Linked DNA regions of Rattus norvegicus. The protein of the gene in region 1 interacts with the protein of each later gene in a biochemical or structural test. Links are inferred from orthologs where the notes say so. Each region holds a gene or a part of one and is shown on either strand. Other genes may lie near its edges.

What was found.
Region 2: the proteins of Slc9a1 (region 1) and Tesc form a complex in vitro, tested with the Homo sapiens proteins (4 studies listed by BioGRID and IntAct, with this or other methods). The link is inferred for Rattus norvegicus from reciprocal best matches to the Homo sapiens genes SLC9A1 and TESC.

Annotation. Positions count from the first base shown.
Region 1 is NC_086023.1:150,897,875-150,902,211, reverse strand, and holds part of Slc9a1 (sodium/hydrogen exchanger 1), read right to left. Parts: intron 1,227-4,337; coding exon 766-1,226; intron 1-765. UniProt on the Homo sapiens protein: Electroneutral Na(+) /H(+) antiporter that extrudes Na(+) in exchange for external protons driven by the inward sodium ion chemical gradient, protecting cells from acidification that occurs from metabolism.
Region 2 is NC_086030.1:44,213,323-44,218,030, forward strand, and holds the start of Tesc (calcineurin B homologous protein 3), read right to left. Parts: upstream 3,219-4,708; 5' UTR 3,128-3,218; coding exon 3,070-3,127; intron 1-3,069. UniProt on the Homo sapiens protein: Functions as an integral cofactor in cell pH regulation by controlling plasma membrane-type Na(+)/H(+) exchange activity. Promotes the maturation, transport, cell surface stability and exchange activity of SLC9A1/NHE1 at the plasma membrane.

The sequences.
Region 1 (4,337 bases):
AAGGAGAGGCCTAGAGGAGGAACAATTTCTCACTTAAAGTCACAAAACAAGTAGTCAGCTAGGCAATCAGGTGGCGGTGGAACACGCCTTTAATCCCAGCTCTCAGGAGGCAGAGACAGGCAGATCTCTGAGTTCAAGGCCAGCCTGGTCTGGAAGAAGTTCTAGGACAGTCAGGGTTACATGGAGAAACCCTGTCTCAAAAAAACTGACCAAACAAGAAAACCAAGCAGTCAACCCAGTCCTACTAATCTCACACTCACCACATCCTAGAGGTCTGGGGAACAGAGCCCTTTCATTTCCTTTGCTCAGAACCCTGCACAGACCAAATTCTTAAACAGCCAACATAAGAGCTAAAAGGCTCCTCAGAGACTAAATGGGCTATGAACTGAGGCGGGAAGAAGGCCAGTAACTGGGCAACACAGTATCAAATGCAAGCTGGTCAGGAAGCAAGTGACCTACTAGGCCAGTGGCTCAGGCCCTGGAGGGCCACAGAATGAACCAAGCACACTGCCTCCAATCTTGGCCCCACCACATTCTAGGAAGCTGTCTAACTTCTGTGGGGTGTTTCTAGTTCTGTAAGGTGAGAAAGTTCGTCTCTCCTTGGGTTGTCCTGAAGATTAGGAGAGAAAATCTATGTCCCGGTGCTCAGAGCAGTGCCCAACACACAGCAAGCATGGGGGACACTGGCCGTCTTTATCATCATTAGTGGAAGGATAAGGCACCGCTTGCCCCCGTGTGCGTGTGCTGTGGCCCCTGACCCCTCACCACAGTGACGGCATCGTTGAGCAGGGACTCCCCAAAGACCAGGATGTGCAGCAGCTCATTGATGTGGATCTCCTCGAAGACGGCCAGCACGGCCACCGGGTCCACCGCGGAGATGATGCTACCGAACAGCAGGGTGTCCAGCAGGCCGATGTTATTGATCTGCTCGCCGCCCACCAGGCACACGGCGTACAGGAGGCCACCCAGGAAGAAAGCATTCCACAGCGTGCCCACCACAGCAAAGATCAGGATGGTGCCCAGGTTCTCCGTGAACTGCCTCAGAGGCAGGAAGTAGCCTGCGTCCAGGATGATGGGTGGCAGCAGGAAGAGGAAGAAGACGTCCGACTGCAGGAAGGGGGGCGTCTCTCCAACGCCCTTGATCAGGCCCCCCACCAGCAGCCCCACTACGATCAGCAGGCAGCTCTCCGGGACGATGCTCGAGATGGTGGGGATCACATGGAAACCTGTGAGGGGCGAGAGAACGGGAGGCCGTGGGCTTTTCAGGGGAGCCAGAAGAACAGAAGGTTGGGGACAGGACTGGGGACCAGGAGAGCAGCTGGCGAGAGGTGCACAGGCTTGGTCTCAGAAGGCCGCTCTGTTAACTCTCTGGGCCTCGGGTTCCTTGCCTGTAAAACGGAAGGGATAATACCAGCTTCACAGGGCTGTGGTATAAAATAATTATTTTAAAAATTTATAGTGTGCGTGTGTGCATGCGTTTGCACATGTATACATGCACCATGACACATGGGTGGATGTCAGAGGACAACTTGTAGGAGTTGGTTCTTTCCTTCAACCAGGTCCTGGGGACTGAACTCAAGTCCTCAGGCTTGGTGGCAAGCATCTTCACCTGCTGAGGCACCTTGGGCCCGACGTTTTCACAGAGTATTCACCAGCTGCCTGTTACCGTGGAAAACTGTCACAGAGCAGCAGCTCTGCATGCCTCTGACAGAAATCAAAGTACCTACGGCACCGAGCTACCCTGAACCCATGGCACTTTCTCAGGCACATGCTCAGGGAGCCGACTTGCGTCCCACACAGAGACACAATCCTGCCTCAGGAAAGGCGGCACGCCTCGTGCCATGGAGTTGACAACGGATGGTGTTAAAGTGGGGACCTCAGAGAGATAGGAGACTCATACAGCATCAGTGCCAGGAGAAAAGTGGGGACAGTAGGCCTGGGTCTGCACACCTGCAGAGCACATTCAGGAACCTCCAGCCCCAGACTCGCGGGCAGCAGGCAGATCCAGAAGATCCCAAGAAATCAAAGGCTGGCAGTTAGTTTTGGCAAGTAAAATGAAATCTCTTTGCCATTCTGCCTTTAGCCCAATTCTATCCATTCTACAGATGGGGCAACTGAGGCTGAAAAGGTGAAGGCATTTGCCCAAAGTCAGAGCAAATCAGTAGCGGAACCAGGAGGAGCCCAGGTCTGAAGCCCAGCTCCCAGCAAACTCCACAGTTCTGAAATTTTAGTTCTCCTTGCCTCCCTCCACACCGAGGCACTATGACATCCACCAACCACTTCCCCAAGTAGCGCTGGCCCTTCTCTGTTGGGGCCTATGCTGAGGTACCAGACCCAGGCTTCCAGGGATGCAGGGTTAGGTCAGAACCCCACATTCCCTATGAGCTCTTGGGTTTGCCTTTGGAGTAGGAAGGCAGGTGAAGACCTGAGCAACCAAATGCATGTTGGGTACTCGGTCCCCCAAAGCCATCTTGGTCAAAAGGTCGTGAGCCCTCTGCTCAAGACAAGGTGCTCTCTCTTCCTCCCTACCAAGCAAGCTCTGAGCTGGTGAATCCAATCGATCGCATATGCCCAAGGCTGAGGCGACCTTTGGAGCTTAGCGCATGCCTCATGACTTGATACACAGAGATGGGACACATCCCGCGATCTTCAGGGCCTGCCTGGTCAGACCTCCCCATCACTATACCCTAGACCTGTGGAAAAGGACATTTCTCCCTATGGCAAAGCCCTCCTGTTCAGTCTGACCCAGGCAATGCTAGGATAGCACGACAGTCCCCACACAACACCAAGTTCCCAGAGACACTAACAACACGTTGGAAAAACATGGGTCTTAGGGTAGGAAGAAAACTCAAAGCAACTGTGTACATGTTCCTGATTCCACACGTCACCTTGTGTGGAAAAGCTGCCTAGGTCACAGAGCCTCCCAGTAACACCAGTGTGCAGCTGGCAGGTGCACCCCTTGTCCTGCCCTCCTTCCCAGTCCCTGATACTCAGATTCTTCGAAATTGCCCCAAACGAGCAAATAGGCCCCGAACTGTGTGGCTGGTCAAGTGTGCTTCTGCCTCCTCTTCCAGGAAGTCTGCCCTGACTAGCCTGTCTGTCTAGGGCAGGACAGGAATTCCCCTCTTGTGCCTCCTTCTTTGACAACCTAAAAGCCACAGTCACCACCTTTCAACCTGGTACCCTCAGAGGTCAGGCAACCATCTAAAGCATAGAGACAAGCCCACAGCATCTTACCCAGAGATCTGCACGGCCCTGAAGGGGAGACTACATGGCCTGCTACACTGTGGATCTTAAAATTTTTAATTCCTCAAGTTTTAAAGGGTTAATAACACCAGGAGGATGACCAAGCATCTATGAGGTGGGATCTGGGAGAGGCTTTATGGTCACCGGGAGTGTGTCCCTCAAGGGGAGAAAGAAAGGCCCCACGAGGTTCTCTCTCCTTGTTGTCTTTGCTCTTTGGTTCATGATTTAAGCATTTTGTTCCGCTGTGTGCTGCCCCCACAATATGCCACACACCCGAGCAAGAGAATCATTCAATCTTAGATTAAAACCTCTAAACTGGGGCAGGGATGATGGCTTGGTGGGTAAAAAAGTGTGTGCTGCTTCAGATACCACAGTTCAGATACCGGCACACACACACACACACACACACACACACACACACACACACACAGAGTAAGCACACACACACACACACACAGTAAGCACACACACACACATACACAGTAAGCACACCCACACGCGCACACACACTGTAAACACACATACACGCACACACACACTGTAAACACACACATGCACACACACACTGTAAACACACACATGCACACACACACTGTAAACACACACACTCACACACTGTAAACACACACTCACACACTGTAAACACACACGCTCACACAAACTGTAAACACACACAGACTCACATACACATTGTAAACACACACACTCACATACACACTATAAACACATAAACCTAAATCCACACACAATGTAAACATATATGTGCATACTCACATACAATGTAAACAGATATACACACAAAACAACAACAACAAAAAAAACGCCTCTAAAGATGAGTTTAAAAGTTTAAAAATTCTCGGGGGCTGGAGAGATGGCTCAGTGGTTAAGAGCACTGACTGCTCTTCCAGAGGTCCTGAGTTCAATTCCCAGCAACCACATGGTGGCTCACAGCCATCTGTAATGAGATCTGATGCCCTTTTCTGGTGTGTCTGAAGACAGCTACAGTGTACTCACATACATAAAATAAATATTAATATTAAAAATAAATAAATAAATAAATAAATAAATATTTTTTAAAAAAAATTCTCTGT
Region 2 (4,708 bases), on another chromosome or scaffold:
ATGCGTGGGATAAGGGAGACCAGGTCTGAGGGTATCCACCGAAGCTGCATGGGAGCGGCCAAGCAGGGAAGTTTTCTGGAAGGAGGCAAATTCTCTCAGGGCCCTAGATGGTGGTGGGAACTCTGCCCTGAAATCTTAACCCAAGAGGAGGTAACAGGAGGATTCTCCCATATAAATAGCAAACATTGATCAAGATGGTGCAGAGTGGAGGGGCAGCGAAAAGCTTGTGCAAAGGTCCTGGGGTGAGGAAAGTTAGAGCAATGCATCATGGGCAGCGGTTCCTGCCCCAGAGGTCACAACATGGTGGACAACTCTCCCTCTCCCAACCCGCCACTCCCAGCTGTGGTGCTGTGAGCAAAACGCTGTCCCTCTCTGAGCCTCAGTTCCCCTCAGGAGAGGAAACGGCCTTATCTGCTTCCTGGAAGATGTGGGTGAAGACCTACTGGGTGTTGTGTAAAGTTCTAGGTTCCTGTACACGCGAGCCCAAGAGCAGTGGTGTCCAACTGGCCGTCCGAAAGTTCTCACATCATGATCCTGTCCAATCCCACGCCACGTCCAGTAGCTTCCTCGCTAATGTCACCTCCCAGGTCCACACAACTGCTCAGAGACGACGCTCAGGTGGGGCACTGAGGCTCAGAGAGGCAGTGACCTGCTGAATGTCACACAGCAGGGATACAGGGACCAAGAGCTCAATATGGCTCTGAGAGCTGGGAAGCACTCTTGCTACGTCCATCTGACAGGAGAGGAAACTGAGACACAGGAACACAAGGGACCCCTGATGTTGGGCTGCAGTGCAGCCTGAGCCTGAAGGACTGCTGTGTCATCGGCCAATCTCACTGACCAACTGCCTCCTGCCACAGGGCCTTGGCACCTGCTACTCCAGTGTTCTGGTCACTGTCACATGACTGGCTCCTTAGTTACCGGCCTATCCCTCCCCGCCTCGCTCTCCCCCCCTCCCCCCCCCCCGTTTTCTGTTCCTGGAAACTTAATGCCAATGAGGTGGATCTGTGTGCTGTGCATCCTGTTTGGGAATATTGACTTCTCTGGGTCACCTCCACATCCTCTAAAATCCTGAAAAACTCTAGTCCATAAAGATTTGCCAAATGGGTGAAAGTGCTCAAACCATACCTGCCACCTTCAGGGCCTGTGGGACCCTAGGAAACACTGTTCCTGGGGTTGTGGGGACCTGGGATTCTCCCCTCCAACTCCTTTTAGAAATGAATTCTGAGCCCAGGCAGCAAGTGAAGAAGCCACCCCAGCCACCTCCAGGCAGCCACTGAGCCTGAGCATCTGTCACCGTGGGAGGCTGGGCCCAGGAAACTGACAAGGCTCCCAGCATGCCTTGCAGCCCGTCACTGTCAAACCCACAGCCCGCTGGAATTCCCCCAGAAGGCCCTGGGTGCTGCTCCGGTGGGGACCCAATCTGCGGCCAGAATCCCAGCTCTCCCCACACCAGCTGGGACAGCAACTGGCAATAGGTCAAACTGAGTCAGAAGTGGGCGGGGACTCCTGCCGTCCTCCATCACGTGGGCCTCGGGACAGGTTTATGAAACTTTTGGTTTGTGGTCAGTAAAATGAATTCAGAGAGAAAATACAAAAGGGGGAGGGGGAAGACGCTGCCCTGCAGTCCCAGAACTGGGGAGACTGAGGCAGGGCGTGTCCCAGATCACAGCAGCCTGAGCCCCAACGTGAAACCGTGCTTCAAACAGCAGTGCACACTGTGCATACGCGATCACACAGCGTGCACACACTTCTGTTGCCTTCAACACAGTGCTCACACTGCTTGCCTCCCACACAATGTGTATATACTTCCGGCTTTTACACGGTGCGCACACACTCCTGCTTGCCTTGCACACAGTGTGTATACACTCCCGGTTTTTACACAGTGTGCACACATAGTCATGCCTGTACATATCGTGCACACACTTCTGTTTACCTCGCACACAGTGTGTATACACTCCCAGCTTTCACACACTGCACACACACCTGCTGGTCTCCCACACAGTGTGCACGCTCACCGCTTGCACACAGTGTGCACACACTCCGGGCTTGCACACCGTTCCTCTTGCACCCGGTGCGCACACACTCGCGGCAGCGCACCTACAGTCGGCGCTCGCCGGGACCGCCCCAACGGCGCGCGCCCTTAGCGGGCCGAACAAACGACTCTCGCGGATCCGCTGCACACTTCACATACCGTGTGCGCGGTGTAGACACTCAGCAGCTGGGGACTTTCTATGACTTCACCGGGCTTTGGGGAGGCGGGTGCCAGCCGGATCCCCTCTCGGGTGGGGCTGACCGGGGTCTTTCAACTCAGCAGCAACCTCCTGCCGCAGCATTCCCGGGGCAGCGCCAGCCTCCCATTCCTCAGAGGAGGCAAACTGAGACCAGAACTGACGGGCCCAAGGTCACACAGCCCTGGCAGAACTAACAACCGGCTCTGTCCGGCCACCGAAGCAAGCTGCGCCCACGCGCAAGTCCAGGTCCCCCCGTCGCTTCCGAGCCCAGGGTCAAGCGCGGGGCGGACCGGCGCTTCCCCCACGCGCGCCCCGCCCGGCCTCTGCGGTCCGGGGAGTGCGGGCTAGCACGGAGGACTCTGGGCAGAGTGCCCAAGCCTGCAGCCGGGGAGCGGGGACACACGGGGAGGCGGCAGGGTGACCCCCGCCTAAGGTCACCGCGGACCGCGCGGCTCCTCCGGGTCCCGCCACTTCCAAACTTTCCTCCCCGCTCATCCCCAGCCGCAGACTTGCGGGTGCACCGCGCGCTCGGCGCTCTCCCGGGCTGCCAGCCCTGGTAGCCGCGCCACCTGCCCGGCTCCGCCCTGGCCCGGGAGAGTCTTGGGTCATGTCGCCTCCCGGGCCACCCTCCCACCAAGGCCGGGGTCCCCGCCAACCCCTCCCGGCGGCGTCGCCCGCACAGCGGCTGGCGGGAACCCATCTGAAGCAGCCGGAGAAAGAGGCACAGAGAGGGCCAGCCACTAGCCCAAGGTCACACAGCGCGGCGGCGCGAAGCGGGGCCATGAAAGCGACGGTCCCCGCCGGCGAAGGTGCCCAGCCACCGTATGGTACTCACAACCGGTCTTGCCCTCGAGCTCCCGCACCTCCTCGGACGCCGAGTGGGCAGCGCCCATGGTGCGCCGCGGGGCCCCGGGCGCCCCACGCAGGACGGGGACTGCCTGGGCTGCGCTGAGCTCGAGCCCGGTGGAGACGCGGGGACAGCGGCACGGAGCCGGTTCCGCGTGGGGCTCGAGCGGCCTCTTATAGCGGCGGGAGGCGGAGCGGCGCGGTCCTAGCGCTCGCCCGCTTCCCTCGCGGCCGCGGGGGCGGGAAGCGGGGGGTGGGGTGGGGGTAGACGACGCAGTTATGCCCCTGCCGCAACCCCACGGGATAAGCTTGCGAGCAGGGAGATCGGCATCCTTCAGTCCATTTTACCGGGTCCAGAGGCGGAGCCCCGGCGACCCGGACAGAGGAAGGGCGTGCGAGTGAGCCTGGTCTGAAAGCCGCGGCCCCGCACGCCCTGCACCCAGGTGGGCGCCCAGAGGAGCGCGCGCCACCGGTGACAGGCGTGGACTGAGTGGAGAAAGTGGGACCCATGGGTCCCGGGGACCCGCTAAGCTCAGAGATAGGCGATCCTGACTGGCCAGTCCTGCTACTGGTCTAACCACCGTTCCTCCATCTCCAAATGGGGCGCGGTGAGATGCTCATGGAAGGGATCACAGGGAGAAAGGCGTCGGGGTACCGTGGGATCCTTTGCAGTTGACGAAGGAGGGGCTGGTGCTCCCAGAGAGAGAAATTCAACTTTAGGGCTGTCGGGCTATGCCCTGCTCTGCTTGGTGACGTCCGGCTTAGCTGCTAAGGGTTTGTCCTGGCTGGAAGTGCCGGGTCCCCAGGATCTTTGACCTCGCTAGTTCTAGTGGTGAGGGCGCCCACATCCTTGGTGCTGGGGTTCTCAGGAGCCCACTCTAGCCAACCCAGGACCTGGGCCCTGGGAGCTCTTGCAGCCCCCGCCCCATCGCTGAAACCCCGATTACCACCCACTCTGGGCCTCCGGGGAGCTGGGTCTGTCCCTGGAGATCCTCCCAGGAGATCGTCCCTGAAGGTCCTCAGTCCTCCCTGCAGCCGCCCAGAGTTTACGGAAACTGTCCCCACTCCCGAGGCAAAGGAAGTGGGGGCTGAGGGGTATTGCTGTTGAGTAGGCTGGACCACCTCAGGGGGATTCCATTTGTGGCTCCAAGAATTCTAAACCCCCAGACAGACCTTTGTTGGGAGGAGGGCAGGAAAGGGCTCCCCAGGTCCCGGGATGTTGGGGTTCCTAAAACTTCCCGCGACCTAAGTTTCGTGTCTGGATCCTGGTTAGGGCTTCTTGTCAAAGAGGATCTCCTCCGTGCTTGATCTTTCTGCCGAGACCCCGTCTTCCTCCGGGATCCAGATCTGTGTAGGCCTGTTTTCACCAGGCTGGGGTGTGGTCGCCAAGGAGAGCCTGCACCTGCACCCCGGGGCTGTGAAGAGTCCTCAGGAAAGACAGTGACGGTTTGACTGGTGCATTTGTTCACTCATTTAGTGTGTGTTTCCTGATGTCCTACTGTGTGCAGGGCCCCGACTAGGTCTTTAAGCTCCAAACGGGGATTAGACACCGCCTTCACGCAGATGGAGTGCGAGAGACCCGAGGGTGGAGTGGTAACAGCCAGGGTGAGCTCTCAGGAGGACCTCAG